Linked DNA regions of Caenorhabditis elegans. The protein of the gene in region 3 purifies or fractionates together with the protein of the main gene of each other region. This does not show direct contact. Each region holds a gene or a part of one and is shown on either strand. Other genes may lie near its edges.

What was found.
Region 1: the proteins of srb-15 (region 3) and zig-6 fractionate together in Caenorhabditis elegans (co-fractionation; one large-scale study listed by BioGRID). This does not show direct contact.
Region 2: the proteins of srb-15 (region 3) and hxk-3 fractionate together in Caenorhabditis elegans (co-fractionation; one large-scale study listed by BioGRID). This does not show direct contact.
Region 4: the proteins of srb-15 (region 3) and F42H10.2 fractionate together in Caenorhabditis elegans (co-fractionation; one large-scale study listed by BioGRID). This does not show direct contact.

The regions. Positions count from the first base shown.
Region 1 is NC_003284.9:5,184,434-5,192,968, reverse strand, and holds zig-6 (Zwei Ig domain protein zig-6), read left to right. Parts: upstream 1-3,891; 5' UTR 3,892-4,003; coding exon 4,004-4,064; intron 4,065-4,119; coding exon 4,120-4,270; intron 4,271-4,322; coding exon 4,323-4,471; intron 4,472-4,522; coding exon 4,523-4,663; intron 4,664-4,707; coding exon 4,708-4,796; intron 4,797-5,813; coding exon 5,814-5,954; 3' UTR 5,955-6,053; downstream 6,054-8,535. Other genes in the region: T03G11.9 (MARVEL domain-containing protein), read right to left, coding at 6,346-6,491, 7,364-7,454, 7,510-7,584, 7,752-7,874, 7,923-8,008. UniProt on the Caenorhabditis elegans protein: Probably not involved in maintaining the position of ASI and ASH head neuron cell bodies and ventral nerve cord axons of PVQ, PVP, RMEV, AVK and HSN neurons.
Region 2 is NC_003282.8:1,496,547-1,505,236, reverse strand, and holds the start of hxk-3 (Phosphotransferase), read right to left. Parts: upstream 5,376-8,690; 5' UTR 5,362-5,375; coding exon 5,184-5,361; intron 4,399-5,183; coding exon 4,253-4,398; intron 3,067-4,252; coding exon 2,991-3,066; intron 2,927-2,990; coding exon 2,787-2,926; intron 1,827-2,786; coding exon 1,717-1,826; intron 1-1,716.
Region 3 is NC_003279.8:6,894,729-6,903,682, forward strand, and holds srb-15 (Serpentine receptor class beta-15), read right to left. Parts: upstream 5,892-8,954; coding exon 5,862-5,891; intron 5,819-5,861; coding exon 5,618-5,818; intron 4,987-5,617; coding exon 4,768-4,986; intron 4,725-4,767; coding exon 4,623-4,724; intron 4,580-4,622; coding exon 4,292-4,579; intron 3,198-4,291; coding exon 3,027-3,197; 3' UTR 3,007-3,026; downstream 1-3,006. Other genes in the region: Serine/threonine-protein kinase smg-1, read right to left, coding at 6,821-6,898, 6,978-7,111, 7,156-7,253, 7,327-7,407, 7,528-7,688, 7,764-7,851, 7,929-8,281, 8,386-8,682 and 2 more.
Region 4 is NC_003281.10:8,487,203-8,493,975, reverse strand, and holds F42H10.2 (coiled-coil-helix-coiled-coil-helix domain-containing protein), read right to left. Parts: upstream 3,357-6,773; 5' UTR 3,332-3,356; coding exon 3,071-3,331; intron 3,015-3,070; coding exon 2,928-3,014; 3' UTR 2,872-2,927; downstream 1-2,871. Other genes in the region: Splicing factor ESS-2, read left to right, coding at 3,639-3,839, 3,894-4,154, 4,203-4,376, 4,440-5,035, 5,157-5,520; LIM and SH3 domain protein F42H10.3, read right to left, coding at 5,854-6,009, 6,083-6,276, 6,456-6,569.

The DNA.
Region 1 (8,535 bases), on a different chromosome or scaffold from region 3:
ACAAATCTTCCGAAAATTTTTTTAACATTTTAAGAATGACATTTGGTCATTTAAGCATCATATGACAAGTTTAAAATGATTTCCCCGCTGGCCGAACCCCACTTTATAGTTAGAACAACAGTAGATTCAAAATTTTGTTATTGAATTTCATGTTAATTTGAATCAATTTTCTAACGAAACTTTTTTTTAAAGTTAGAGAGTGAATATGAAAATAAATATTCTAGAAAAAATTATGTCATTTTAAACGATGTTCAGATTATCAAAAAATTTTATAAAATAATGCAATTTTTTGTTTTAGCGCATAATAAAAATAAGAATGATAATTTTCAGGTTTACTGACAAACATTTACTAAATTTACCTAACTTTTTCAAATCGATAGTATCAAAACGACAAATACAGCTGAATTTGCTTTAAACAAATTTTGTAACTTTAATCATTATTATAATTAAAATTTCTTTTTTTTTAATCATTATTATAATTAAATTTTCTTACAGTTCAAATTTTTACACATTTTGATGTCGAATGAACAAAAATACTGAAGAGAATTTTTGACAAAAAATGAAAATCAGATTGACTTGAAAAAAAATGCATACATACATAACAACCCAGTTAAAAGTTTAGAACTACCTGCATGTAGTATTTGCAAGTGCAAAACAAAAATGAGAGAAATGAAAAGGCTGCTCAAAAGCAGATGTGTTCCGCTCTCTATTCGATTTTTTGCTTTTTAGCATGTGCAGCTATGATTTAGAAAACTCATTAAACGTTGAAATCAACGAACCAAATAAAATTTAGCAACTTTAGGCATATTGAAGTAATATTAACAAAATCACAGGTGGATAAGAAAAATGAACGCTTTTGATACCTGTCTGCTGTAACAAAAAACAATTTAGAGGGAGGGAGAGGGAAAGAGAATTTTTGCAATGATTCGAAATCAAATCTCATTTGCCAATCTCTCTATCTCGCATCTCAAATACCTGACGAATGAGATGATCGTCTATTAGTTGATCATCACTGCAGACGAAAAAGTGTACGAACTTGCACCGAGTACAATTTTGAAAATTAGTTTGAATAGTTGTGCCATAGGAATTGTAGAAATTAAGAAGCCAGAAGTGTCGGCATTACCAAAGTGACACCTTAGAGTCGTTTTGTGTGTCAACTTGGGCTCGATGAAAGTCTTGTGTAGTAAACATCGACGATGGCACGACATTTATTAATGAATGCGGACGGTCGTCAGTTGTTCTTTCGTGGACGTCCTTTAGCCGTCATGATGAATGTGTGTAAAAAACCTTTCAGCCAGTGTTAAGAACAAGAGTCGAGAAGAGGTAGCTTACGTGAAAAGCTCTAATGCAACGTCGGTGGCTAAAGATTGCTTTTTCCGTTACCACAAGAACAACTTCGTTGTAAACTTGTCAGATTTTCTGAACAGGGATCGCTGGGTTCAAGAACAGATACGAGTTGGAAAACATCATGAGAAACGTTCTGCATTTGCAAGATTGTTTTCTACACGACGGGACAACACTCGATAACCGTAAAATTTATTGCAGGTTCGGAGGAGTGTGACCTCCCGGAGCATTCTTTATAAGCCCACTCATTTCTACCAATCTACGAAGAGTTCATAAAAGCTTTATGGGAACTTGAAGAAATTGAAGAAGTGATGAATTGAAGAAAGAAAAAGTGACAAAATGCTTGAAGCATTATAGTTGTAACTTCAAAATTCTTATAAGAAACTGTAGCTTCCGTTTTTCTGATTGTATTTATCAAAACTTTAGTTGATACATAAACATATGTATAAATTGTAAGTGACTGAGATTTTCAACTGATGCCTACGTTTTTTTTAAATTAATTTAAGATTATAATTTTTAATTTAAGTCCGAAAGACCGTTATAATAATGTTTTAAAATTTGTTTCACCATTTCCAGTCATTTTTTAGTCTGTCATGATTGAAAATAATTGACATGCATTTCTAAAAATGATAATTGCAGAGAGGCTCTATCTCGGAAGTGTGAAAAATATTTAAAGGACCACAAAACTTCAAATATTTTTTTGTTTCCTCCAGAAAGTTCGACCTTTATATATTCTTATCAGCAAATATAAAAACATGTAATTTGAAAGTTTGCTCGTTTTTAAAATCAAATTTGAAAGGCTTTTTAAGAACCTGAAAAAATGTGAAAAATGACGTTATATGAAATGCATTATCGTGTGGAAAATTATATACTAATATGCATTTGTATAGGGTTTCTGAAAGTAAAAAAAGTTAATTGTTACTGATTACGTTGAAATAAAAATTTTGAAGATCCAATGACTAAAAAAAAGTTTAAAAGGATGATCGTTTTTAAGCATTAAGCTCTGCGGATTTGGGAGTTAACTTCCTAATGGTGCTCCCAGTGGGCTTCTTGGGCAAAATCAAAAATAAATACGCTATCAGGCCAATTGGGCATTAGACTTGTGCAGCTCAGTGCTGTTTTGTGCCAATCAGTGTCGCTTTTTGGGCGCACTGGCCCGCGCTAGAATGGTAGATTAAACTGTCCACAATCTCTCCAATTAAAATAATTTTTACAGCACTTGTTCACGACATAGTGTACGATAAGTTTTAAAGTTGATTTTTTCAGCTTATTTTTTCTTGTGATAACATTTTAATTAGTGAGTATTAAAAAACTTTCAAATAGCTTTCAATTTGAACAAATTCCAGACTGGTAGTAAGAAATCTGCTAGAAACTTTACTTTTTGGCTCCATTCTTGTAAAAATTCAACTCAACTTAAATTTGAAAATGTAATACAAAACATTTTTTTTGATGTCTTAAAACTGGGAGAAAAATTGTCAAAAAGAAGACTTCAATAACCGATTTAAACTGAACAATTTGGAATTGAACAAAATCTTTTTAGTATCAACCAGTAAAAAGTTACTACTCCATGATGCTTGCGCACTAGAATTTTTCAGTGTTCAACATTGCACGCTTGTTTCGCCTTTAGCATTCAGCTGATGGATCAAAATTTCAATAACTGCAAATTAAACTATTTTTTACAATTTTATGTTACCTAGCTACTTGAAAAAAACTTTTGATCGCAACCGAGATATTTTTTTGAAGAGAAAATACGAAAAATCTAATTGGGAATAACGAAAAGAGCTCAAATTATTTTTGTACCAAAAGTTTTTCAATTTTTTTGAAATTACATGTGATTGTTTTTGTATTTGAATTTTGTTAGGCTTAAAAAAATAATTTCTAAATCTTAGTTAAAATAGTATTGACATAATGGTTCACGTGCTGATCTGAATGAGAATTAATCCTACATATATAATGCAATAATAATGTATATGTTAAAAAATTAATAAGAACATCACACTGTCACTGTTTCTTAAATTATTGTTCAACATATTTATATTTTATTAGTTTGTTTAATCGGCAGGCGTATTTAAAGTTGAATAATCGAAAATAAATTATGAAATAACTATTTTTCGCAATATTAAAAACTATTGAGAAATATTAACTTTTTCGCACTTCTTGCCTTCGGTATTAAAATTTTATATATTGTTGTAAATATTCTGAAATGTATTTCATTTACAGTTGTCAATCATATCAAGTTGTATTGGAATAAGTACCTTGCAATAACTGCAAATTTAAAAGTTTCTCACATTTAATTCATGATGTTTGATGATTTATTTTCAATAAAATTGTCCTTTTTCCAGACTATCATGAAGTGCACAAATCACTGAGCTTTCTCATTAAAAACATCAGAACAATTATCCAGAGTTAATAGTCTCCCTCAATCACCTACATCACGTTTTTCAAAAGACTCCAGCCTGTTTAATAGCCTTCGGCGTTCTTTTAATCTGAAAAAATAGCGAGCGAGATGAGGAGGGCAGTGGTGGTAACCCAAGCCTCGAGTATTTTACAAGAATGAATCTTACTGACACCTGACGAAGCCTTCACAACAGTCTCTAGTAGCGGTGGCTACTATCATTTGGACTAGGTTGTCTCCTTGAAATTCTTCCTTGAAAACAGGATGACTAAATTATGTCTTTTACTTTTACCACTAGTTTTCCTAGTCTCTTATTCGTTTGCAGGTTTGTTGAAAAGAAATTTAAAAAGTGTTATTATTCATAAGAATGAACATTTCAGAAGAAGAAATAACCATTTCCATTAGCCCAAATGCAAACCCAGTTCAAAAACCAATTGGTCACCAGATTTCTCTTGTGTGCTCTATTAAGAAGACTGATAGTAATGGAGAAAAACCAGGAATGATCTGGAAGAAACATGGTGGACTAGACCGGTATTTCAAGATCCCTATTTTCCTATTAAATATAACCCAGCTAATGTTTTAGAACTGGAAACGTCGAGGTCAAAAAACTAGACGACTACACTCTCGGACTTATTATCAGAAATTCCAGTGTGGAGGACAGTGGTGTGTACTATTGTCAAGCTCAGGTTGGAAGTAAAGTATACATGAACAAGATGGATGTAATCGTTTTTGGTAGGTCTCAATGTTTGTCGAGATTTTGAAAAAATAATACACTTTTTGCAGAGGACATTGTCTTCCGAGACAAACAACTTCACTTTGGTCAAGTTCTAGCGACTGCTTCGGTTAATATTTCATGTGAGGTATCCGCCAAGAAAGACAGTGTCATAACTTACTGGACTCGTCACGGGAAGCAAATCCTGGAAGGTTTGTCTTGAGGAAATTTGTTAGTTGAAACAAGGTGTTTTCAGGTGGTAAGCACAAGTTCTACAGTAGAGGGTCTATTCTGGAAATTCAAAATTATCAACCAGAACAAGACGCAGGACAGTATACATGCGAGGTAAACGAAAAATATAGGATAAAAACTTGTAAATTATCTTAGAATGGGCTTAGATCTAGGAATGACAGCCACTGAGCAAAAAGATATAAAATTACCGTAGTCTAAGTCATCAAAAAGTGAGACAATGGCGGCAGCCATCAAGGGTAAAATTTATGAGTTGCGTCGACAAAAGGTGCTATTTAATTTTATGGTAATTGTAGGGAAATGTTCTTTTGTGTGTAGAGCTGGTAACCGACAGATAAATACAGATAAACCTTATCAGTAAACTGTGAAACTTTTATCAAAAGAGAAGTGATAGTTTTTTTTTGAGAAAAAAGGAAGGGATTTTTGACAAAATATCTCGGTATTTGGCGCTTAATTTCGGCAAAATAAATCTAGCCATAAAGTTGGCGAAGTTTGGTTTTTTTCTTGAATGCTACTTAACCAAGTTCAATATATTTGGGCAAAATTTTTGAAAATAATTTTTTCTATGAATATAAAGGGAATTGAAAGAAGCCTATTGAGGTGCTTCGAGTTTTTCAAAAAATTTATTAAAAAATTACGGTTATTTATGATCTTTGATAACTACCCAGTATAAAAGCAGCGTATACGTTGTAAAACATTAATATTAACAATGTCTTTGTTCGAAACTTGTCACAGAAACTGGCTAAGTATTGCAATTATTATTAAAATATTGTACATATTTTGTTTGTCACATAAATATTTTTATACAAAACAATTCTAATGTGATTTCAAAACACAATGGGATAACATTTTACCAAACGTAAGAGATAAACATTTTAATATGATAACATTTACTTTTTTGAACACTCTAGTTTGTTGAATATTTTTGATTTATTTTTTTTTGAGGTAAAGAACTTTTCAAAATTCTAATTGCAAAATTTAAAAGTAATTAAAAATTTAAAAAAAAAGAAAAAATTTTGTTAATTTTTTTAAGTTTTCTATTCCGTCATTATAGCTTATTTTATGTTATTTAACATTTTGAAAAGTTAAAAAAAAACTGTTTCTTTATTATAGGTGTTCCATGTAAGCAGCGGCTCATCAAACACAAAAACTGTGACTCTTGGAACCACAGGAGAGAAAAACTACGTGGCATGCCAGCAGATGTGTAACAGTTTTTGCACTGATGTTCACAACAAAGTATTTACCAACAACTAAATTTTGAAGTGTATTGATTTTTTTCTCATTTTATCATTTCAAACATTTGAGTCACTGGAATAACTTTGATTCTTTTCAATAAATTATTATAGCTAAAAACATTTTTCTGATCGTGTTCAACGCAACAATATGAAAAAAAAACACGCTAATAGAAAGAAATATTGAACAAATACGGCATTTCTCATGAATGTTTTTGTTTCCAGTAACAAAAGTTCCCTACAAGCTCACGAGTGCTTGGTTGAACGCAATTTTTTTCCCAGGACTGTATGCATAATATATATTCTCGTACGAATATTTTATGCTACAACAAACATAAAAGTTGGAAAAAAAATAATAAAATATTTCATTGGTCCAAAAAACAAGACGAGTATCATCATGACGAGGTTGGTGTTCACTCCCACATACATCTTTCACCACTGTCCGGATAGATACCTTCGGCTTTTTGCCGAAGGTAGTGATAGCATTTGGTGGCAGCCCATATGGCGCCTATACAAATTACGATTCCCAAATATATTGATATCACCATTAACATTTGATCTGAAATGTAAATGAGATTGCGGGAATATGTGGCAAAGAGATTCAGTTGGATACGATGTTATACATACAACTCCGAACAATTCTTTTATTATTTTTTTTTCAATTTTGCAAAAATTCAGATGAATGATGCAGTACTCCATTTTCCAACAAAATTAAATGGCCTTTCACAGTTTGAAAAAATGTAATTTAGGATAATACAAAAACTAATCACCGAGAAAAAACCAGTTCAATTCGCAACAAAAAAAAAACGGAAAAACTCAAAGTAGCGTAGGCTAATAAGCCATTTCATATGTTTTGCTGAAACAATTTGAATAAAACTCATAAAAATTGCACAAATGTTAATAACTATAAAACTGTACAACAATTAAAAAAATTATTTTAATTTTGAATCGTTTTATTTAAGACGTTACAGTAGATAAATCAGTTAAGCTTGTAAAAAGCTGGAAACAATAACTCTGCTAACTTGAGAAAATCGAATCAATTGAAAAAATTTTTAAAGTGACCATTACCACCCGTTTTATGCTATTTAAAGCAAATTTCTATGAACGACCTTTCAAATTTCAAAAATCACGAAAAAAAACCGGAGAAGAAAAGAAACTCGATGCAAAATCAATAACTGGGAGGAACCTGATTTTTATTTTCCGGTTTCAACGGGTTCATTTTGGTTTTTTTTAACATCTATTTTATGCTGATTTTTCATTGTTTTGACTGTTATTATTAAATAAGCTGTCGTTAAATTCCAATTCAATACTTCATCTTGTCATTCGAAATTATTTAGAAACATGGGCTATGAATTTCATTTTTAAATAACAATCCGACTTTTCAGTTAATCCTCATTCCCAATATTTCCAAAAAAAATTCTGAAATCATACCAAATTTTTGATAAAATTTCTGCCTTCGAAACACAATTGTATAGTAGAGAACATAATTGGCAAGAATGAAGAAACAGACGCATTGCGTTATCTTAAAAACAGCAATTAGTCTTCAGAAATGTCAAGAAATCGCAGAGAAAACTCACTTCAGAAACTATAAATGGTACAAGTAATGAAGCCTTGTCATAATAAAGACCAAACATCATGAGAATGGCCACAACCTGCAAAAATCGAATATTGAAAACAATTTGTTGTTTGAAAAGAGAAAATACATACTGGTGAACTTATATTTATTGCACTCAAAAAAATTGCAATTTAAAAATAGTGGTTGCAATATAATTGTCATAAATTAAGTTAAAAATTCATAAATAAAAATTCGAAAACATACCGTATTCGCAACAATCAGAAAAATATCTAGCCATAAGTTGACAGTGTAAACACCGAAAAACATGCATATTGTAGAAAATAAACATACTACAAGTGCCGAAATCGACACGTAGAAACAAGCACGCTGAAAATATTTCAGTTAACACAAGTATTCTTTGAACAACATACTTACTTTAACGTGCACATCTCCTCTACAACACTTGTAAGAGCTTCCGTCGTCCTCACCCCCAATTTCATCCTCGAGAATTATCCGAGTTCCTGAAATGGATAACTTTTTGGAAACACTTTAATTTGTTTTTCTTACAATGTTGGATGAGCTCAAAGTGTTTGAAATCCGCGGGGACGGTATAATTTTCTAGATGTATCATCATAATGTTTAAAAACTTGATAATTTGAGTAAATTTATGTTTGCTTGTAACTTTTAATCAATAAACCAGGTTTCAGCCAAATAATCGTCGTAGATTAAATAATCCAATGCGCAACTTTTTATGCTCAAAAAATCGTCTTCGAATAATGTTCTACTGATTTTTTTAAAGTTTTACATCTAAGTCATGTTAATAAAAAAATTATATAAGTTTAACTTTTTTTAAGGTAAAAAACAAGCAATACTACATACAAGAGTAACTCTTATCATTGTTTTTTTTGTGACGGGGTATTTTTTTTACCCTTTATTACAGCTATTCACATGTTTCAAAAATACTCAGAACTGTATTCACTGTTTAGTCCGATAATTAAAATCAATTATAGGCCCCGTCTATATCTTGGTTTCTCCACGGATTTGAATC
Region 2 (8,690 bases), on a different chromosome or scaffold from region 3:
TTTTTTTCCGTTCCCATGCTGACATTCCCATACATACATTTTCTCCCGTGCATACAAAATATTCTGATGCTTACATCCAGTAGTCGAAGTACTCCTATGCCTACAACTCATTTTTCCCTTTTTTTTCGTTCCCATGCCGACATTCCCATACATACATTTGTTCCCATACTTACAAAAATGTATTCCCATGCCGACATGGAACAGTTTTGTGCTCCAGAAGAGCACAAAGTCAATTTTTTTGCTCATTTTCATTGTATTAGGCTTACTTGACAGCTTTCAGTTACAACTGATCGCTTTTTTTTTCAAAATGCATTAGTTCTCGATTATGAACAAGGAATCGAAGAAAAATGGGGATGACTGCCTATAGAGTAAAATTTTTTTTTGCTCAAAAAAAATTTTTTTTTTTGAAAATTTTTTTTCTCTCTATTTTGTAGGATATAATTAATTCGGTGAATTCCACAACTTCAAATGTTCATATTGCTGTTTCCGTGCAGTTATGAGTTTCGCAGTGCCTTAGGAACATTTCATTTTTTGTTGTATTTTGTAGGAATTCGGAGCTATCTTATAATTTCTACAAATTAGAAAATCCATTTCGCATTATTTCATGTAACTTGAACCTATTGCTTCAAAAATAGCACAGAACGAATGTTGATTCTGTTTCTTTCATTAAAAAATGTGCTACTGTGCATTTTTTCCCACTTCTACGACTTTAAAGGCGCGCGCATTTATACAAAATGGTCCCGTCATTGGTCTCGCCAGCGCTCAACAAATCAATGGGATGCGCGTGGCGAGATTATTGCGCGAAAATTCGCGCGCCTTTAAAGTCGTAGAAGTGGGAAAAAATGCACAGTAGCACATTTTTTAATGAAAGAAACAGAATCAACATTCGTTCTGTGCTATTTTTGAAGCAATAGGTTCAAGTTACATGAAATAGTACGAAATGGATTTTCTAATTTGTAGAAATTATAAGATAGCTCCGATTTCCTACAAAATGCAACAAAAAATGGAATGTTCCTAAGACACTGCGAAACTCATAACTGCACGGAAACAGCAATATGAACATTTGAAGTTGTGGAATTCACCGAATTAATTATATCCTACAAAATAGAGAGAAAAAAATTTTTCAAAAAAAAAATTTTACTCTATAGGCAGTCATCCCCATTTTTCTTCGATTCCTTGTTCATAATCGAGAACTAATGCATTTTGAAAAAAAAGCGATCAGTTGTAACTGAAAGCTGTCAAGTAAGCCTATTACAATGAAAATGAGCAAAAAAATTGACTTTGTGCTCTTCTGGAGCACAAAACTGTTCCATGTCGGCATGGGAATACATTTTTGTAAGTATGGGAACAAATGTATGTATGGGAATGTCAGCATAGGAACGAAAAAAAATGGAAAAAATGAGGTGTATGCATAGGAGTACTTCGACTACTGGATGTAAGCATGGGAATTTTGTATGCACCGGAAAAAATGTATGTATGAGAATGTCAGCATGGGAACGGAAAAAAGGGAAAAAATGAGTTGTAGGCATGGGAGTACTCGAACTACTGGGCGTAAGCATGGGAATATTTTGTATGCACGGGAGAAAATGTCAGCATGGGAAATGTGTGCATGGGAAATGTGAGCATGGGATAGATTGCCTAGAGGATATACGGTAATAATAAATTGTAATAAAAAAATGGGGGAGCAAAATGTTAGCAACCTAGCAATATCCTTACCCATAACCGATAACCACCCCAATTGTGCATTCTGGACCATATTTGTGTGCGGCAGCAGCCAACTGTCCTACTGTGTCGTTCATCACTGCTTTGATGCTCACTTTTGTGGACTGAAATCGAGTGTTTTTTGTTATTAAACTGTGTTATTACGGGAACTCAAAATTCTCTGAGAATGCGTATTGCACAACATATTTGACGCGCAAAATATCAAACTACAGTAGAATTCTTTAAATGACTACTGTAGCGCTGTTGTGTGTCGATTTACGGGCTTCCTTTGATTTAAATATTCTATCGATAAATAGGTGATTTCACTTTAAAAATGGAGCCCATAAATCGACAAAAGCGTGTTGTGGCACCCGGAGGCGGCGACCGAGCCTTTAAGCCGTAACGAAGAGTGACTCGAGACCGAAGAAAGATTATGTATAGTCTGGAAGGAGCCCTCTGGCAGTGCGGATGAATGCGGTGGTCTTGCTCTCGAGGAGACTTGAATATAGAGCTAGTGACAGAACAAATGTATAAATATATTAATTTATATAGTAATTATAAGAATTACAATAAAAGAGGGAGAGAGGATAAAGTAGGGGGAAGGCCTGGAAACTCCTTGGTTATTGGAGTTTGTCGGGTTCTCCTTGGATATCGGAGCAAGTACATGAATAATAGTGAGGGGCAATTACAAAGGAAAATGGGGGATGCGTCGGGAGAGAAGTGCCACGCACGACCGTTCGGCACGAGCGCAGCATCAAGACTGAAGTGGTGGCGTCCAAAGGCTGCGTATCCTGCCGTCGCTTGAGTCGCCGCGCAGCTAATGTCGGCTCCCCATTCCACAACAAAGCGCTACAGTAGTCATTTAAAGAGCTACTGTAGTTTTCGCTACGAGATAGATATTTTGCGCGTCAAATATGCTGTGCAATACGCATTTTTAAAACTTTTTATTACCGTAAGAAAAATTGCCAAATTTTAAAGCTATTTTTCGTAGAATCGAAAATTTTACGGTTTCCGATTTTAGTGATCACAAAAGGACAAATTTTCAAATTTTTTGATAGTTTTTCAAGAAAAAATCGAATTTTTACCATATTCATCTCGAGAGCCTCTTCCAATAGAGCTACAATATCCCGTTGCAAACAATCCTTAATATCGAACCCTTTAGTCCACCACAAAAGACGTGCCGAACGAATTGACAATAGTTCACATGGATATGAGAATACGAACCCTGAAAAGACATATTTTAATATTTTTTCCAGGAAAATCGGAATTTTCGGTGAAAAAGTTCGTACCAATAGGTAAATTAGCATCAACTAGTCCGAATTCTTGTAGGAATCGTTGGAGGCAATTGACGATGAATGTGAAAAGCTGAAAGTTGAGAAATTTCGCCAATTTTTGCCCGTTTTAGTCGGGGTTTTGAATTGAAACTTTGAAAATTTGGTGTCAGGTTGTTGTCCCATAAGCTCCAAACGGCGGGAAATGTTTTTTTGAAAATTTGTGACGTCACAGATTTTTCAAATTTTCGATATTTGATGATTGATTTGTTTTCTTGCCAAAAAAATTTCAGAAAATTTGAATTTCCCACCAAATGTTTTTTTTCCAGAAAATTTGAAATTCTTGCTAAAAAAAAATTTCAGAAATTTTGAATTTCTGCCAAAAAAATTTATTTTCAGAACTTTTGAATCCAAAATCTTTTTTTTTCAGTAATTCACTGCAACTTTTTCCTCACGAGGGACGAGGAAAAGTGGTTTCTAGGCCATGGCCGAGGGGCCGACAAGTTTCAGCGGCCATTTATCTTGCTTTGTTTTCCGCCTGTTTTCTTTCGCTTTTCATCGATTTTTTCGTTTTTTCTTAATAAAACTGATAAATAAATATTTTTTGCAGATGCTAAAACAATTTCCAAGTGAAAAAATTATGTATTCCAGTGGGCAAGCAGCGGTGAAAGTGGGCATTGTAATATGATGGATTACGGGAATACAAAACCTAAACTTTTTCTGAAACATGATTCATATGATGCTTAGATGCTGAAGATACCTGATTTTCATATCGAGACCGCTGAAAAAGTTTTGAGGTTTTCAAAATTCAACTTTTTGTGCGAAAATCTCGACTTTTTCACCGAAAAAGTTGAATTTTGAAAATCTCAAAACTTTTTCAGCGGTCTTGATATGAAAATCAGGTAATTTCAGCATCTAAGCATCATATGTATCATGTTTCAGAAAAAGTTTAGGTTTTGTATTCCCGTAATCCATCATATTACATTGACCACTTTCACCGCTGCTTGCCCACTGAATACATAATTTTTTAACTTGGAAATTGTTTTAGCATCTGCAAAAAATATTTATTTATCAGTTTTAATAAGAAAAAACGGGAAAAAGCTGTGAAAAACAAAAGAAAACAGGCGAAAAACAAAGCAAGATAAATGGCCGCTGAAACTTGTCGGCCCCTCGGCCATGGCCTAGAAACCACTTTTCCTCGTCCCTCGTGAGGAAAAAGTTGCAGTGTTTTTAGCTGTTTTTTCGGAAATTTTCAAATTTTTCGCACAAATTTTGCTTACCTGATCACCGGTTCCCTTCATAACATGATTAGCTACTATATAATTGACTGTTTCATGCGTGGGCGTCGTTCCGGCTCCGTTCATTGTGAGTAACATTATTCGAAGATTCTTTCCCGACAAATCGATTGCCACGTATTTTCCGGTTTCTGGAATTTTTTGTATGTTTTTGATTTTTCCTTTAAAAATTAAGTTTTCTGAATTTTAGTTTTTTAATTTGTTAAATTTTATAGTATTTTTCAGATTTTTTTTTGACATTTTTAGGAAATTCTTTAAAAATTGAGATTTTAGGCAAATTTTCATGAAAATAATGATTTTTTTCGGAATTACTAAGTAAAATTATTGCATTAACAAATGTTTAGCGATTTTTTTCGCGATTTTCTGTAAAATTTGTCAAACTTCAGTGAATTTTTTAAACTTGCACTAACTTTGTAAGTCTTAACTTAATTTTTCGACTTTTTTCCTGATTTTCAAGGAATTTAATATATTTTTATAATTTTTTACGCAATTTTTTGAATTTTTTTTTCGATTTTCAGCTTTTTTCAATAAAAATCAAAAATAAACAAAATTTCTGAAATTTCACATTTAAATCAATTTTTTTTAGAGTTTTTAATCCACTTCGTAGATTTTTCTATAAAATTACAATTAAAATTAGTTTTTTTTTTCAATTTTACCTATTTTCCATGAAAATTCGTAAAACTTTTGAATCTTCAAAGCAAAATTTGAATTTCTTTGTCGTTTTTAGTAAATTTTCACGATTTTTAATTAATTAAACTAATTAAATTCCAATGGTTTTTTTCTCGATTTTCAGAAATGTTTGATTAATTTTATCAGTTTTGTTTTTTGGGATTTTTCGAAATTGGCTAAAATCGACGATTTTTTATGTTTTTTTTTTAGATTTTTTCATTAAATTTCCATTTTTCTGCATTTTTACCTGTTCCATCTGGCAACGCTGGTACATAACTCGGCAACATTGCAATCGATGAGCCTTGAGTCTTTGCGAGACCCATTTTCATTTGTTGCTCCACTTTTTCGCTGATTTCTTGAAGTTGTTCACGGTTTAAACGGAATTTCGCGAGGATTTCCTCGACTTCTGGTGGTAGAACCTTCATTTTTGTGGAGATTACTGTAAAATTTTGGGATTTAGGAAGGTTTTTTTGAATTTTTTGAGGAAAAATAGGGGGTTTTCTAAGAAAAATTTAATTTCAAAAACCGATTTACAGAGAAAATTGGCAATTTTTTTAGAAAGTTTAAGAAAAATTGACTTTTTTGGAAAAAAAAATTCCGGAAAATTGAATTTTTCGTGATTTTTCAGGATTTCTTGTGGAAAAAAAATATGAGAATTCGTGAAAATTAGGTTTTTTTCTGGAATTTTCGGGGAAAAATAGGATTTTTTTGAAACTTTTCTTTGAAAAAAAAAGTTGTTTTCTACATTATCAGTATTTGTTTTAATGAAAAATAGGTAGTTTTAACAATTTTCAGACAAAAATTTACTATTTTTGTAGAAAGAAAAAATCGAAATTTTTGGTAAAAATGTGCCGGAAAAACTGAATTTCGTCGATTTTTGGAGTTTTTTTTCTGGAATTTTCGAAAAAAAAATTGAATTCTCGTCAGTTTTGTATTTTTCTTTGGAACACTATGCATTTTATTGCATTTTTCAGTGATTTTTCGGTAAAAATAGGGTTTTTTTTCCAAAAAAAAACTTTTATAACCATTTTTAGACAAAAATTGATAATTTTTTAAAGAAACTTTTTTAAAATTTGGCTTCTGTGGAAAAAAAGTGCCGGAATATTGGATTTTTCAGGATTTCCTCGAAATAGTAAGTTTTTTCTGAAATTTTCAAAAAAAAATCGAATATATTTGTTATTTTTGTATTTTTCTTGGGAAAACTGTGTGTTTTATTAGTAATTTTTCGGTAAAAATGCGTAAAATGTCAAGCGAAAACGACGAAAAATTAAAATTTGAATTTCTCGAAATTTTCTGAGAAAAATACGTTTTTTTTCTAGAAATTTCGGGAAAACATTAATTTTTTTTTGAGTTTTTGCAGAAAAATGGTAAAAAATTGCAAAAATTCTACAAAATAGCGAATTTTCACGATTTTCTGTGGAAAAAATTGTTTTCTGAGATTTCCGAAGCTTCTGTTTAAAAAAAAATAATTTTCGTGAAAATATTGATATTTTTGAGTTTTTGCAAAAAAATCGTTAAAAAATTATAAAAATAGCGTGTTTTCAAGATTTCCGGTGCGAAAAAACAATTTTTTAAAAAGAAAAACGTTCAAAATTTGAAAAATGCCTATTTTTCACTGCAACTTTTTCCTCACGAGGGACGAGGAAAAGTGGTTTCTAGGCCATGGCCGAGGGGCCGACAAGTTTCAGCGGCCATTTATCTTGCTTTGTTTTCCGCCTGTTTTCTTTCGTTTTTCATCGATTTTTTTCGTTTTTTCTTAATAAAACTGATAAATAAATATTTTTTGCAGATGCTAAAACAATTTCCATGTAAAAAAATTATGTATTCAGTGGGCAAGCAGCGATGAAAGTGGTCAATGTAAAATAATGGATTACGGGAATACAAAACCTAAACTTTTTCTGAAACATGATACATATGATGCTTAGATGCTGAAATTACCTGATTTTCATAACGAGACCGCTGAAAAAGTTTTGAGGTTTCCACAATTCAACTTTTTTGGTAAAAAAGTCGAGATTTTCGCACAAAAAATTGAATTTTGAAAACCTCAAAACTTTTTCAGCGGTCTCGTTATGAAAATCAGGTAATTTCAGCATTTAAGCAGCATATGTATCATGTTTCAGAAAAAGTTTAGGTTTTGTATTCCCGTAATCCATCATATTGCATTGCCCACTTTCACCGCTACTTGCCGACTGAATACACAATTTTTTAACTTGGAAATTGTTTTAGCATCTGCAAAAAATATTTATTTATCAGTTTTAATAAGAAAAAAACGGGAAAAATCTGTGAAAAAATAAAAGAAAACAGGCGGAAAACAAAGCAAGATAAATGACCGCTGAAACTTGTCGGCCCCTACCACTATTCCTCGTCCCTCGTGAGGAAAAAGTTGCAGTGTTTTTCGGTTAAAAACCTCGAATTTCCGAGATTTGTCGATTTTCTTCGGAAAAACTATGTACTTTAACAAATTTACAGGGATTTTTTTGGAAAATTTCTGGAATTTTCCAACTTTCTCGCAAAAAATTTAAAATTATCGATTTTTTGATAATTTATCTATCAAATCAAGTGGCAGAAAGGAGAAAAACAATAAAAAGGGCAGTCCGCACGTGCAGAATTGAAGAGAAAGAGGACCTCAGCCAGGGTGAGAGAGTGTAGAGGGTGTGGAGACGCAGACACTGAAAGAAGGGGGTTCAGAGATGTGGAGAGTGCAGAGATGTTGGTGTGATGAAGACTTGGCAGTGTGCCAAATGATATTTTTTATGGAATATGATGCAATTGTGCTCTGTTGATAATTTTTGGGGTGGCAGGATTCTTTTGGGGGAAATTATTGATTTTTTTTTTCTTTAAATTTGATTTTTCTATAAAAAAAATTGGATTTTCTATAAGAATTTAGATAAATAATAGTTTTCTTATATTTGCTTTAATGATTTTTCGGCACAAATAACAGATTTTTTCAAAAAAAAATTTTTTTTTACTTTTTGGGGATTTTTATCGGAAATTTGAAAAAAACTGAAACTTACGATTTTGATGCTTCTTGAAACTATTATTTTTCGAAACTTTTTTCAAAAAAATTCTGGAAATTATTGATTTTTGTCCTAAAAATTTTTAAAACCCCGAAATTCTATCGAAAAATAATTCAACATTTTTAGATTTTGCGTGAAAACTCTGTTAGAATATCGACTTTTCTGTCAATTTTCAATTTTTTTCCGCAAAAACTGCCAGAATTTCCTCAAATAGTTCATTTTCGATTGAATTTCCAAATTAATCCGAAAAATCGATAATTTTTTGATTTTTAACTGGATTTTTCGATAGAAACGTTAACTTTGCTGACTTTCTAAAATTTTTACAAAAAAAAACATTTTAAAAAACGTTGGAAAACACATAAAATTCGAGTTTTTCGGCTGGAAATTGGGGAAAACACAAAAAAAAACAAAATGTTCTACAGTAACCTTGAAACTGCGCGTCGGGTTAGATGCATTGATACGCAATTGCGTACAATGCATTTTACTTGCCGCGCACACTTTTTGGAATTATTTTCAGCAAAAATTGCAATTTTTCAAGTATTTCAGCGAAGAAATTGAAAAAAATAAGATAATTGCAAAAATACAAGCGGGTTTTAAAGTTTTCTTTTTAAAAATCTCAAGTTTCTCAATAAAAATATAGAAAACATGTTTTAAAACAGGAATAAGCGAAAAACTATTATAATTTATTGATTTTCGCCTCCAAATCACGCTAGAAAATCAAACTGATGATCATGACA
Region 3 (8,954 bases):
TAATTTTGTACTAGCAAATAGCTTCAGTTCTGGTGCAACCGGGATTATTGAATCAAAAGTTGCAATAACAATAAATGAATCTCGATATTTGCATATGAAATTATCTCGCACTGATTATAATTTTCATATTTTATCTTTTGAGAAGATAATTGAATTATTCCATTGCAGAAAAATCGACTCGAGACCCGATTTGGGGGTCGGTGAGCGAATATGGCCCGAAAACCATTTGTTTTTTGGAGAAATTAATTTTATTTTTTTAAAAGAAAATGTGTTGCTTACTCGTACTTTCTTTGAAAGGTTTTACTAAATAAAGAAATAATTTGAAAAATAGATAAACAAAGAACTGATATTTCATGTTCAAACATTTTTCAAAAAAAAATTGATTTTTTGTTTAGCTGAGAAATCAGCTTTGAGGTTGCGTCCACGACAAGGATTGCACATAAATTGTTTGTAAGAAATAGAAGAATTTTAAAATTTCTCTGTATTTCTGTCCGAACATGTTCAAGAACCTAAAAATTGACTACAAAAAGCTATGCATTTATGTTATTGGGCGATTAGCTTTCGAATAATTAATAACTGAAGAAGATGTCAAATTCAGATATGAACCGATAAAAGGCGGAGTCCTCTCGTTGATGATTCTCTGAGAAATTTCCATTGAAGAAAGTCACGCCTACATTTACCTTTAAACATAAGCTTTGCTAGCGTTCGGCATATCTCAAAGATCCAACTTGGAGCCCTAGACAACAATTCTATCAGATTGAAAATAAGAGTATAAGATCCAAATCTTCAACCACCAAGAAGTTTTCTCATTCACTCATTCCTCAAACAACAAGAGAGGAAACCCATAAAATAGACACGAAACAACGGATGTATCTCCTCTACTCAATCCGATGAAATTCTTCACCAAAATGACAATAAAAGTTTAGCTCAACTTAGAACAAAATCTTCTAATCAATAACGATAGAAAAGGGTTTTGATGGAAAGTGACAGAAAAATTTGAAAACATGAAATTTTAATGAAATTGCAAGTCTATAAAAAATGAATGCTACACTAGTCCTTAAAGGTGCGTGAATGCGGATTTGCAGTAAAATACCCAGATTAGTCAGAAGTATTTTAGATTTTTTATTTTTTCTCCGTTTTCTTTTGGGTATTTAACCGAAAAATTCTCATACTCCTGGTTCAAATGCGCATTCTGTTTTTGCATCCTTCTCCAAAAAATCTAAATCGTGTTGAGACCGGGCACCGTATTCTTGGGTAATAAAATCACAAAATTTCGATATATGGAAATTTGTTTCAAAATTTGGGTTTTCTTTAGGCTTTTTTTTCTCAAAAATCTCATTTTTGGATACCGAACCAAATTTCTCAATCAAGCATAAATGAAGTTTACTACATTGATAACATGTGAAGAACGTTTTGAACAATAAAATGGTTGAAAATTTCTAAACTGCTGAGCAGGAAAACATAGAGCATCGATTTTTTAAAGAAAAAGAACTTCTGCAAAACGCTTGTGCGATATAGAGATCAAAATAATTTCGAGCATCCTAAGTGCATCTAAATTGAAATTCCAAGAGGATTACGGTATTCACTTGAGGAAGCAATGTGTCAGTCTACTTGCTAAAATTGTCCGGAAATGTCAAGAACCTTTTCTCAAAATGAATCCTTTTTTCGTCTTTTATCTCTCGTTCTTCCCATATACTCTATTTGACACACAAAACGAGTTGTGTTTAATTAAAATGGAAAAGTGGGCGGTACATTTTGAAGAGAAAAAGAAGACACCCAATATCCCCTCTCTCCGTTTATATTGCCTTTTGAAACACATGTCAACACTGGAAAAGAAGATGAAGAGAGAGAGGAAAAAAGATTTTATTTCACGGTTAAAGGATTTGTTAGGAGAAGCTGGAAACATGATGGGACATAACATAACGATTTCAATGCAATTGGGTTTTCATTCGATTCAAACAGAACACTGAGGCTATGGGTAAACTACAAAAATTCAAGGTGACCTAGTGGGATATCGGACTTACTTAATCACACTCAATAGGTCATATTTGCCACAGTATAAGGAAAACGCGAAAGAATCTTATGTTCGTAATTAAGAAATTCCAAGTTACAGTAAGGAATTGAACATTTAGATACAACATGGCTGCAACTATTTAACGGGGGTGAGTTCCCATCGATGAAAAACGGAAAAACTGTTCAATCTAAATTCTGATTCAGTCTAGCCATAGCTAAGAAAAAAACATTTCGCACTCTCTGGACCAGTAATAAGTAAATACTTTGTGATAACGATAAAAAGTTAATTACGAGATCAAGTCGCAAGAATAGTATTTAAACTTATTCAACAAACTTTAGAAAAATCAATGTGTCAAAAAACGGAAGAAACAAAAAAGTGTTCCGGTTAGTGTAAAGTGCCAGTTAGAGAAAATATATGACTCATCCACGTGTCACTACTACAGTAAAAGTCCTCATATTACAACATGACCTTTTTCAAAATGTTTTGTGAAAGAGAGAGAACCACCGGTCAAGGACCATTGTTACGAGATTTAGAAGATGGTTTTGTATTCCGAATTTTTAATATTTTGAAAAACAAAAATTTACAATACAACTTTTTCTTTTAACATCGGAAACTACAGAAAACAGAGGAAACGGAATAAACGACAAAAATAAATAAATTTTCAAGAAAATGAGAAGAGAATGTCGTTAGAACCAGATGTTTGTATGTGTGAGGGTCGAGTGTAAATGTGAATGATAGTACAAGTTGGGGTCAACTAAATGTAGGTTTTTTTTTAAATTTGTTGCACGCGCGGTAACCGAAAATTTTTCGTGCATTTATTGAGACGCTACTACTACAGTAATCCAAATTTATTCCAATATTTTGTTAAATATTTAAACTCACGAACTAATAACTGCCCAACTCGGTGGTTTTTGCAGCATATCTTTAAGTACCAAATTACTTGAAAAATTGTATACTTTACTTTATTTTTTAAAACTGGAACAAGTAAATGAATTTATTCCATAAATCAAAATTAAACAGAATTCCAAATGTTGAATATTGCATTCTCGTAGTTTTGTGCTCCAACAGCTCCTGTCGCTTGAATTCGAACAGTGCCGGTTATTTCCTCAGATTTTCGAGTTTTAATCAAATGATTCAAATAGACTGCAACAGACCCAACAACAAGATTATATAAGGATATCATCTGAAATTGTTTTGTTTATGTTTGAACATTGATTGGAAATAAATATTATATCATTTAAATGTGGAGTAGTTCCTGTAGATATTATGTCTAAACATGTAAACACAGGAATAATAACCCAAAATGACTGAATTTCTTAACAAAACACTCGAAAAACTTCATATATGTGTTAAAGGTGGTGTAGCACTAGTGGAGAAATTGCTTTAAAACATGCCTATGGTACCACAATGACCGAATATCATGATAAAAAAATAAAACAAAATTTTCTAAATTCTATATGGTTTTTTGAAAATTGAAAAAATCTCAGTTTTTGCCTAATTCCAATTTGAATTACCGCCAATTGGATTTGTTCGATGGAGCGCGCTTGCACGTTTTTAAATTTATTAATTTTATTTTTTGTTATTTTCCACCGATTTTTAATGTTTTCGGTGTATTTTTGCTCGAATTTTAGAGAAAAAGTCAAGATAAATGCAAATTTTCGATTAAAAAGCACGCTTACAGGCGTAAAAATGACAAAGTAACGATTTTAAACGATTTCGAACCTGAATTAATTAATTTCACTGATTTACGCCTGCAAGCGTGCTTTTTAATCGAAAATTTGCATTTATCTTGACTTTTTCTCTAAAATTCAAGCAAAAATACACCGAAAACATTAAAAATTGGTGGAAAATAACAATAAATAAAATAAATAAATTTAAAAACGTGCAAGCGCGCTCCATCGAACAAATCCAATTGGCGGTAATTCAAATAGGAATTAGGCAAAAAATGAGATTTTTTCAATTTTCAAAAATCTTTTTTTTTTTTTTTTCTGAATTTTTTAATCATGATATTCGGTCATTGTGGTACCATAGGCGTGTTTTAAAGCAATTTCCCCACTGGCGCTACTCCACCTTTTATTCCAAGTTTTGGTAAAATGCCAAATTTATGAGAAGCTTGAACTTTTCGGAAAAAATTAGAGAAGTTTTTATATTTGAACTCCGACTATGTTTAAATTTACATATTTAGAATAATTTAGTTTAAGAAACCCCTTTTTCTCTGAACTTCTTATTTATTACAATTTCGTAATCAGTTCTTCACTCTTATAGATCCCTACTTACTGTAGTAAAAGCTCCTCTTGTTGCCATCAAATCAGCTGGATCCGGAATAAAAATACTTCCAAAATATCTAAGAATCATGATTCCAATCACATAAAATCCAAATAATATTACATGACAAAATACTACAAAAACTGCAAATTTGGTAGAATGAACGACTTCTTCTCGTTGATATTTTGTTGCAAGGGAACTGGTTGAGACTTTTAATCGAATACTTTGTCGAAGGAGATATGAATTAAATGTAAAATTGATTAAATTCAGAAAGAACATAACCCAGAAGAATGTGAACATCTAAAAGTCTTTTATTAACTATCGTACTACTTGATCTAGAGACCTTTGGAGCAAGAGTTTTAGGAAAGAACACAAAGGAAATCGATCCATCATCAAACTTTTCGTCTCGATAAATAAAAAACACAATAAGCAAATCAAGAAGTATCTGAAAAAAGATTTATATTTCAGAATAAATAAAGTGTTCTTACATTACATCCAGTTAGTATTGGACCAAGTCGTACACGTGTCTTCTCATAAGTTCTTGCCATTTTCATTGCAATGAATCGTTCAATTGTAATAGAAATAGGAAAGAATGTGGAAAGAGACATGAAAATTGATACGGTAGTATTCCCGATTTTTAGATATTGATCAGGTATCAATAAATTACATGGATGTTTTGAGAATAGTGGAATTAAAATTTCAGTCGTCTGAAATAAATAGCTGTAATTTTAAAAATATAAATAACTTTTAATCTACATATATTTGAACTGTTGGTCTATCTGCAAATATTGCCGTAGCAAAAATGCCAGAAATAAATGATTGAAAATTAAGAAATGGTTTAATTTTTGCCAAATCAGGTAACCAGGCGGGAATTCCTTCATGCCCGTCTACCGCATAAATGTAGCTTTTTCGGAACTTCAGAATTTTTGCTTAAAAGTGAAGAATTGCCAGTTGAAAAACGTTCAAAATTATTTTATGGTGCTTAATAAACAGTTTACAAAACATTTTGAATGTCGGAAATTGTTGTAAGAAAATGATAATTACCAAACTTTTAAAGATCATAATTTTGGAAGTCAACCAAAAAATGATTTTAGTTTTATCATTTTTATCATAATTTAATTTTTGTATTTAAACATTTTTAGTTGAGCAAAAGTTTGGCACTTTACTTAAATTGGTTGGTACTTTTGAAATATCTAAAAATGTTGAAGTGCTTTTTATTATGTTATTAGGTCGGTCAATTATAATGCCCAACTAAATTCACTTTCAACAAGTTCATAAACAAAAAAACTTCAACGTTTGAGGAAACAAAAAAATCATTTTAATTTCTGATTCACTTACCGAGATAATGGCAAAATCCACAGAAAACAAGAAAACTGATACAAAATAGGCAGAGAATAAGAATTTAAGATTGCCATGGAAGCTTGTTTTTGGAAGCTTGAAAATGACAAAATAGATTAATGGAATTATTGATGAAATTGAAACAAATAAATGAATAAATAAAGAACCTCTATAAATTGGATGATACGTTAATTTGAACGCCTGAATTTGAAAATTAGTTCTTAAAAAGCAGCAAAGGACTAACCGTTTCACAAATTTCAGAAATTTCAGTCATTTTTCAAGTCATATGCTTCAAGAAAATAGAACGTGATAATGCTCTTTGGCTCAACTTCCTCGAATTGGTTAATAAATTATTTTAGGCAATAAAACCATAGAGACACGCATCGAGTGCATAGTTCAATAATTTGTTGCATGCAAAACCTTTTCCCGCTTTCTCAAATGTTCCCATAAAACTTAGAAAGTTGGCTGAAATTGCAGAAATCGCATGTATACTATATTGTAGGCGAAAGATCAGAAGAAATTCTCCAGGTGATCAGGAAGTAGGCTAAATTATTTTCTTTTTCTTCACAGATTCTCATTTGCAATTCAATAAATCACCATCTATTCCATTCCAAAACCTTTATTAATCTCCATTTCCATATGCGTATGGAACGAGGTAATATCCAAATAAGAAACAAAAGCATGGTCTTCTTTCGGGGGAAAACTATTCAGAAGAAGGCCGGGAGTAGTGTGAAAAAAAACATGAAAAAATACGTATTAGAAGTTCGAGAAATAGGGCATAAACATGGGTAAGAATATTGGAGAAAAGTGTGGTGATCGGGGGAGAGTATGAGTTGAATGCAACTAATTGAATAATTTGTTAAGAAAAATTGTGGTTTTTGGAAATGGAATGACTCTTCAAGTCAAAGAATTTTTGGTTGGGGAGAGGAGACCGATTGTTGAATTGCTCCAGAAGCTGTCAAATAGTCCGACTATCCAATTTTGACGATTTCTGAACAAATAGCGGAAGAGACAGATGGAGGACGGTTTTATGTGAAGGCTGAACGAGCGGCGAATTACAAACATCACGAAGGTGATACAAGACATCCCCGAATATCGTGAGTCCACGCCCTGATCAACTGAACTTCAAAATCAAACAGAAGTTGCATGCTTCTGGATAATTATGAAGAAGTAGAACGGACTATGACACGTGGCAACTTTCGTTCAGACCCAAGCAGTCCATCCTTCGTACATTTGAGATAAATTTGGTGTGGATGTAGCTTCAGCGATTAGGATGTCGGCCTGGAAATGGTGAAATGTGAAAATATAGAAAACTATAATATTAGCCACAAATATTTTCGAACCAAATTTTTTAAAGTACCTCTTCGCGAGGAGACAATTTCCTATCTGGTCCTGCCGATCCATCGAGCCATCCGTTGAGACGCCGTTCAACACGTCGGACAACTTCACGCGCTTGAGAATTCTCCTGTTGATCTTGTTTCACAACCCATACATCTGAAAAAAAAAAAGTTTTTAGAAGGCTGGTATGAGCCATATACTTTCAAGTCCGGGAGGTGGTTTGAATTCTTGCTGTGAAGTACGGGATGTAATAGTCTCAATCGGGGTGAATGACAGATTGACGAGTGCTCCAAACACACTGAAATTATATTATACATTGAATCTAATTGTTGAATTAGTTCGATTTCCAATTTTCAAAATCAAAAACTTACTTATCTATATTTTGCATGACAATGTTGAAATTGTACACACATGTATCAATATCGAGTTCGTTACGGAGAGCCGAGTGTCCTCTGAAAGTTTTTTTTTTAATATTGCAGTAATAAAAAATGTTATACTAACTAAAATCTAAAAAAAACCAACTAAATCTTAAAAAAATTCGCAATGTTACTTATTGCTTTTAGAAAACTAACTTCAAAAGTGGATCAAATAATGCCTGCTTGTAAAACTTCAAATAATCTGCAAACTCTTCTCGTTCCTTTCCAATTACTCTTATCAATGGACGAAGCTCTTTGGCAAGTGCATGATGACGTGTCACAGCCTCACGAAGTTCCGTTCCAGCTTTCACACGTTGCTGAAAATATAAAATAGGTTAACTTGGTTTTATCTTCAAATAGTTCATATGGCATATAATGAAAGAGACCCATACCTGAGCATATATGGCATTTGCTCCAAGCATCGAATTTTCAATCAAAAGACATTCGGTCACTTGTTTCATCCAGTGGAGAAGGTCATCACTGAAAAAAGACAAGTAAAACAAGATGTTATTTTCTATCAGAAAAATGTATTTTTTTCAAAAGAGCGAAAGTCTAACCGATTTGCAAGCCAAAGGGTTTGAACCTCAGACATTCTCAAATTGAGTAACTCCATCGCATCGGTCAATCTTTCTTTAGCTTTTGTCTTCCAATTACTTCCATAAACAGCCAATTGTAGTGCCAATGAGACACCAGAAGTTGCTGTATGTTCATGTGATGTCCAATCGACAAGCGGATCGAATACAAATGCATCGAGAAGCATTGTAAGAACTTGATGACCAGAACGAAGAGTTGAGAGCACGTGAACACAAGATTCACGGAAGGTACCATACATTTCAGATGGTCCGAGAGCGTGACGCATGTTACGTGTCAAACGGAATGGGACTGTTTCGGGGATACGCAGATTCTTTCCCTGAAAACAATATACTTGGAAGTTTATGTTTATCTTTAAATTTTAATTGTTTTAGGTTGAGAAATCACCAATTATCATTGTTTAAAAAGGTACATAGTCATTACCTTGTCAAAGCAAATGTTGTAGTCAATATGTACTACATGACCCCACTTCAAATCAACCAATAAATTGTCCAAATGTCGATCACCGAGTCCTAAAACTGATCCAACCATACTCATGACTGCCAGTGATCTTGAATATCGTTTTGTAACCGACCACCAAGTTGTTGCATCATTCGCACGCATCCAAAGCTCACGACTGATTAAATCTGTTGGTGTTTTTGCTGTGAGACTTTCAAATACTTCTTCCAAAATTTCTGCTGGCCATTTAGAACGATCCGAGGTGATGGAGGAATCGATTTTCTAAAAATTTTAAATAATTAAAACAGTTGAATTTTGGAAAATGCTAACATGATCTGCGAATGCTAGACGAATCATATTGTGATACATGTTGCTGGGTCTTTCGATTTCAGGAACTGTTTCTCCGTTCTTTTTGGTCGCTTGTTTGAGTGCTTTCTGAAAATATTCAATTGTTTATTCATTTATGTTTGTTGTAACTTTTTAGTCATCCCAGGAAAAATAATAAAAAATAAAATGCTCACCTCTTTCATCTGCCATTTACGATATATGTGGAA
Region 4 (6,773 bases), on a different chromosome or scaffold from region 3:
ATGAAAAAAAACGCGGACAAAAGCAGATGTTCGAAAAGAAAACAAAAGTAAATCCTCCTTTCTTTTTTTGTTTCTCCCTCATCATTGTCGATTGGCATCTTATAGTTTTACACCCGGATGTGCCATCCAGATGTAGATATTTAGAGAGATGATAGACGAAAGATTATTCAAAAAGTTTCAAATCTCGCACGGAAGATTCTCAGATCTTAATGAGTGGATCAAGAATGTCTCAGAATTTTCAGAACAAAACCAAATAAAATCATTTTATGACAATAATAGAAATGAATCTTGGGCGGATTGAAACTAATTTACAAAGCACATGAGCTGATATCGTAAATTTTGATAATGAGAGAATTCGAAGCGTTTTTCGAATTACAAATTATGGAGAATATTAGGAACCTTGAACGTTAAATGAAATAAGGAACGAGACTAACGACATCTAGAGGACAGCGATTCGATGAAAAGGACACAAGCCAGGTGCGCCAGTGAAGAAGGGGTGCGCGCGCGAAAACGAGGCAAACACGGACGGAAAGACTACGCGAGTTCACCTTGACACGCTTGTCATCATCATCGTGGCCCTCATCTCGTCCTCAGATTCTGATGAATGAGCGAATTATCTATGGTTGTCGTCGTCGTGTACCACACTAACAAGCATCAGTGCCCAACAGTATACTGTCTGTGAGTGAATGTGTGGCGGCAGTGGCGCCCGATTGCGAACGATAATTATTATGTAACCGATTGTGGCGACGATGGGGATGTCGGTAGTATTGTGACTGGTAAGTAGGAAAATAAGAGACTAAATTGGACCGATCAAAACGAAACTACCACATCGAAAATGACTAGGAACACTGCGATGCGATGAAATTGGCATGGTGGTTGAGGTAAACCAATCCTAAATAAGGATGATCAGAAGGGGCGATGGAAAGGATTATGAACCGATTTTTTTGTGTGTCTTGGAAACAATGGACAGATTTGCTTCGAATTCTAGATTTCCTTGAACAATGTAGTATTCAGAAGTTGTTTTATTTTTCATTTTCTAACGTTAGATTTTAAAAAAATTGAAACCTTGAAAACTACTCACACACTGAAATTGTCTAAAAACGGAGCTCACTGTGGAAATAGAAGAATACGATTCATGATCTTTCTGCGTCTTATTTCTCCCAAGATGTGTGCCAATATTCCCAAAACAAGCTCTTTTGTCAACTTTGGCGCGTTAAAAAACCCACCCTGAACCAAAGATAGTCCCAAAATACATAAATACATCGTGTCTCTGAAGGTGATAAGATAATTATGAAAAGAAGAAGAACTAAACGGCAAAAAATATGAAAAATAATTTTTGTACCATTTAGTGGAACGATGCAAAACTGGTTGCAAAAAATAATTGAAGAAGAGGGAATAGAGAGCGTGGAGAAGAAGAAACGCAGACGGATAAGAGGACGTAAACGACCTGGGTATAGTGAGGGAAATAGGCGGGTGCGCATATCTCGAGGGGGTTAGGAGAGGTAGTTAAATTATCACTGTTGACAGGTCTCGCTACAAAAACCAGATAAAGTACTTTAACTGATCAGTGTATAGAGGAGCATGTAAGAGAGCTTGACTAAAAATCTTATCTTTGAAAAATTTCAGAATTCTCTCAATGCGCTCATGAATTTTGTTCTTGTAGGGTGATAGGAAATTTATAAAAAACTAATAAACACATTTAAACATGAAATTGCAGTTTCAAGGTGCGAAAAACCTATTCTATTTAGCATCAAACAAAAAAAGAAGAAAAAATCGATATTGCCTCAAAACCGTACCCGAAGTTTAAAGGAACATTCTACTTTACTTATTTCGCGGCGAGACCCATGAAGGAAAATCGTGTCATGTCTCTTTAACCGGTGAGTACGATTTGAGGCAAAATATATTTTTTAAACATCGTAATATGCTGTTTGGACTTGTACCTGCCGAAAAAACACTGGAAAACACAGAAATCACTCATAATTCACAGAGAAACTACTACTTTCATATCAAGTGGTGTTCTGGGAGTATATTTAGCTGATATCTCCCCAGTTTTGCTTCTCTTGACTCGATCTTTTCCTTTCTCAACACGAGACATTTTCAAGTAGCTTCTCGGTTTTTCCCTTTTTCTACCGTCTCTAACTGCTTGCGAAGGGGGGCGCGCAAACACTAAGGGGAAAAGCCTACACTTCAACCGACACCCGTTTCTCTGAATCTCTTAAATTGTATAAAATCTCTCTATCCAGCCTGTCAACATGATATTTTTGTTTGATATATGGTATTAGAATATTTAGATTAGGATATGTTATCAAAAGGCGTCTATTGAGATCTTGAAAAAATATTTATAATACATTGAAAATCATTTGATCTGACCCAATCGGAGAATTTGAGTATCATTTTTTCTTACAATGCTCACTCAAAAATCACAAGAATTTAAATACAAATTGATAGATGAACTCGAAACGCTAAATTCTTTCATTGGCGCCCTACAAAAATAGCGTAAGTATGACAAGTGAAGCAATTTGTTAAAGCGAAGAAGAACTTTACCGTAAAACCGGGTCTATACTTTCTTCTCCTACAATATGCAAAATTCCCGCTTCCCGCCGATTAATGATCTGCAACGTTTTTACCATATTTAAGCCTGACAACTGATGGCCGAATCGAATCTTCCACAGCAACTAAAACTTCAAGTGGAAAAGGAGAATAGATATGAAAAGTACTTCAAGCCGGCCAAAGGAACATCCGAACAGCGAAAAGAAAACCAAAAAATGAAGGAGTGTTCGAAGATATACAGATGAAAAGAAAAGAGAGCAAATAAACGTTTCGCAATACTCTTTGTAATGCACAAAATACAGTATAATTATTACAAAACAGTATTTAAACAATAATTATTTATAAATTAACAAAATGAACAAATTATAATTGAATCATCACTTTTTATCATTGTCACCGGTACCGAAACACTGTGTTCGTGTGACACACTCCATGAACGACATCAACTCCTTACCGCAAGCTCCCTACAATACATATTATTTATTTATTTTCGAGAACTCTAGAGCTAAATAATTGTTACCTGCTCTATTTCACCATCACTATTGGTCTTTTGGCACGTAATCGCTTCCCGAAACTCGAATCCACAAGGGCTTCCAACAAGATGACCGACACAGTGACATTCAAAATTGATTTGGCCATCAGCAGTTGTTGGTCCGGGGTTATTGCTTGGATAGACTTCATTAGGGTCCGTGTTAGCTAGTTGTATAAGATAATCGTCTTTAATATCTTCCCAGTACTCATCGACGCTCATTCTCACAACTTCATCTTTTGTTGAAGCCATTTCGAGATTATCACCTTTTCTGAAAGCAATTAATGTTTTTGAAGATAAATTAACCAGAAATCAAATATATTAATTTACGGACAAGAAGTGTTATGTATTTAATCAAATAATCTTTGAAAGAAAACAAATTCTAACAGTAAGTTTATTGTCCACGAGGACTACGTACGAGAGCGCTAAACAACTTGCACTACGAAACTCCGATTTTTTATAAAATTTCGCAATTTCTTTTATTTTTCTAATTTTCGTGGTTTTTTCTTTTTAAAATAGTGCTTTTAATTTTATTTTGTAAATTTTCAGAACTCGAAAAATGTCGTCGTTCGACAAAAATGACGAGCGAGCTCAGCTGATGGTGCCAAAATCAATAAACGAGGGAAAAGTAGTGAAATTGTCACAGAAAACCCTAGTTACTAAGAAAATTGAGCGCCAAGTTGTTCCCGAGGAGAAGTACATTGCTGGACTTGATAAAATTATAGAAAAAGATTATTTTCCACATCTCAAGAAAATGCAGGTAAAATAATCATTATTTATAAATATTTACTGTTTTAATGAGTTCTATTTTCAGGCACAGAAAGAGTATTTGGAGGCTGTTGCAAATAAGGACATTAATAAAATAAAAGAACTTCAAATGAAGTTCTGCAGTACTGGAAGTGTGCGGACCGATAGAAGCTTCAGAACCCCAATAACAACTCGTTCGACAACTGAGGCTCCTGATGTTTCATCTTTCGATGCAGATACACCGGGCCCTTCATCTGCTTCAACTTCGAGTGCACATGATTGGATGCAATCTCCAATGCCTTTTGCTAATGAGGAAGGAGATAATGAGGTTAGATTTATGATTTTCAATCCATTACTATCTTTCGCAGAGTTTCAGGCGTTAAATCGGAAACGAAAAAAGAAGAAAGAAGAGACTTTAACGTCATATCTCAACAAATACACATCAGAAGACAATGCTTCCTTCGAGGAATTGGCGAAAGTTATGAGGGAACGAGAAGATGCACGTCGTCCTTGGGTTTATAAAGCCGAGGAAGAGCATAACAAAAACCTTGTAAGATATTCTTTCACGAATAAAATCTGATATCGTCGAATTCGTAACTTAATCTAATTTCAGGTGACTCGACAAGCAATTGCTGCTGAAGCTGACGTGCAGTTGGCTTTAAAACATGCTGTAGATGCTGATGACAATAGACCTCTGAATGTAGACAATTGGGCATACAAAGCATGGAACACTGTACTCTTCAATCCGGATGGGGCAGCTCTGACACCTGCAGAGATTGCAGATGCAGCTAGAAAACAGCAAACTGAAATAAATAAACGTGGCACTAGGTTTCCAGACTCCGGAAAATTGAAGCCTAGCGACGAAGCTATGACTCGAGCAGCAGTGAGCCATGCTCTCGCGAATGCCGGAAAAGTTGATTTTTTGGGAAATGAAGTAACTCCAGCCAACTCATTCAAATTACTCGAAACACCGAATCCAAATCCTGACGACATGGATTCTCCTCTTATGACTTGGGGAGAAATTGATGGAACACCATTCCGACTTGATGCGCCTGACGTTACAGAGCATTCGTTGCCTGGTGCGGCGCCTGTATTCAAGATACCAGAGGTTCCGTATCGGGAGAAAATTGCACAATCTATGAATGATTCAATCGCGGCCAAATATAGAGACAAGAGAAAAGTTGCGATGAGAGCAGCTGAAGGAGCTCAGTGAGTTTTCATTTTTCAATTAAAAATTGTTTATTTTTTCAAGTTATAAAATATATTTCTCTATGGTATTAAAATCTATAACGAGATAATAGTACTTCAAATAATTTTCAACTTGGTAAAGTTTCAGCCGAACACCTGGATTTGGATCCAAGCGAGTCTCAGACAAGCTTGCACAATTATCTCCTGCTGCTCAAAAGTTGGCAACCAAGAAGCTTGGATTAAAAATGTTACCTGCTCACAAATCTCCTTTCGCCTCGCCGAAAATCATGTCGAATTGGTCAAGACCGTCAAGTTCAAAGCGATCCACAACTCCTGGTTCTGCATGGAGTCGTGGTTCTACTACACCTGGATCATCTTGGAGCCAAGGAGCACAAACTCCTGGCACACCTGGGATTGAATCTATGATCCGAAGAAAAGGGGATAACGTCGGACCTTCAACATCAGCCGGAGCTGCAGATAGAGCAAATGCTGGAGACTTTTTCTAATATTATAAGATTAGTATAATTTAGATCTGTATATTTTGTTCTCATGTGCCTTATAGACACGGTTTATTATTTATGACAATGGCCTAATAATTGATAGTAAATTCATTTATTATAATTTTTAATTTTTAAATTTCAGCACCATATAACATTTTAGAAGATTGAAAAACAAATGGAGAAAAGGCATTCAGAAGGTGAACAGAACCCGTTTGTGGGATTTTCAGAAAGTTGAAAAAATAACTGCAGAAGCCTGAAGCATAATTGAAGCATTTAGGGGAAATGTGTGAGCAAGAGCAGGTCATGGAGAGATAGAAAATGTGCGTGGGTTTGGAAATATTAAGAAAGTCGGTGCAATCCGGTAGGAAGTTTATGTGGTTGAACATAATTTGCAGGTAGCATTCCCCATTGAAGAGTTCGTTGAACTGTTCCTGTCATCCATCCATCATCAATTTTCTCGCAGTTCACGATGATATCACCTTCGAGGAATGAAATCTGGAATCAAATATTTTAGATGGTTGAATAAATTTTCATCGTGAAACTGGTTGAAAACCTAATTTAAATTTACCTCGTCTTTATCAGCAGCAGCGTAATCATAAATTGCCTTAACTGCAAATCCAGCTTTTCCAGTCGGTGAAATTGTGCTTTGTGGAGAAGAAAGTGTTGAATGTGGAGATGTTGAAGATATACTATTTGATGATGGAGGTGGAGCTCCTGCAAAATCCGCACAAAATCTTGCCGGACCTTTATCCACTTGAGCCTCTGCAACAAGCGGTTAGTTTCAATTAATGACAGATCAAAATTATTCAAAATGAGCTTTTTAAAAGATTATTTCTTCCACAAAACGAATTAATAAGTACCAAAACGTGCAAAAAATTTGTGTGGATTACAAATGAGCAAATCATTCAAACAAAAGCCAAAAAAAAAAACAAAATCCTTACTCAAATATCCAAGTTTCTCGGAATTTCTCGGTTGAGCAGCAGCTGTACCCCATTGTCCGTTCATTGGATCATAGTCAGCAATACTTCCGATTGATTTTTGTGGTGTTGGAGATACTGAAAGCGAAGAAAAATAACAATGCACAACACAAAAGCTTTTAGAAAATTACACATGAAGCACAACGAAAAATTTGGACTTTATATAACTAGATACCATAAATTAGACAAGGCTTAGGCTTGGCGTCAGTGGGGGAGCGTTAGCTCCCCCACTGACGCGCGATAAAAGTGGCTATTTAGGCTGAAGCCGCGCCATACCGCCGG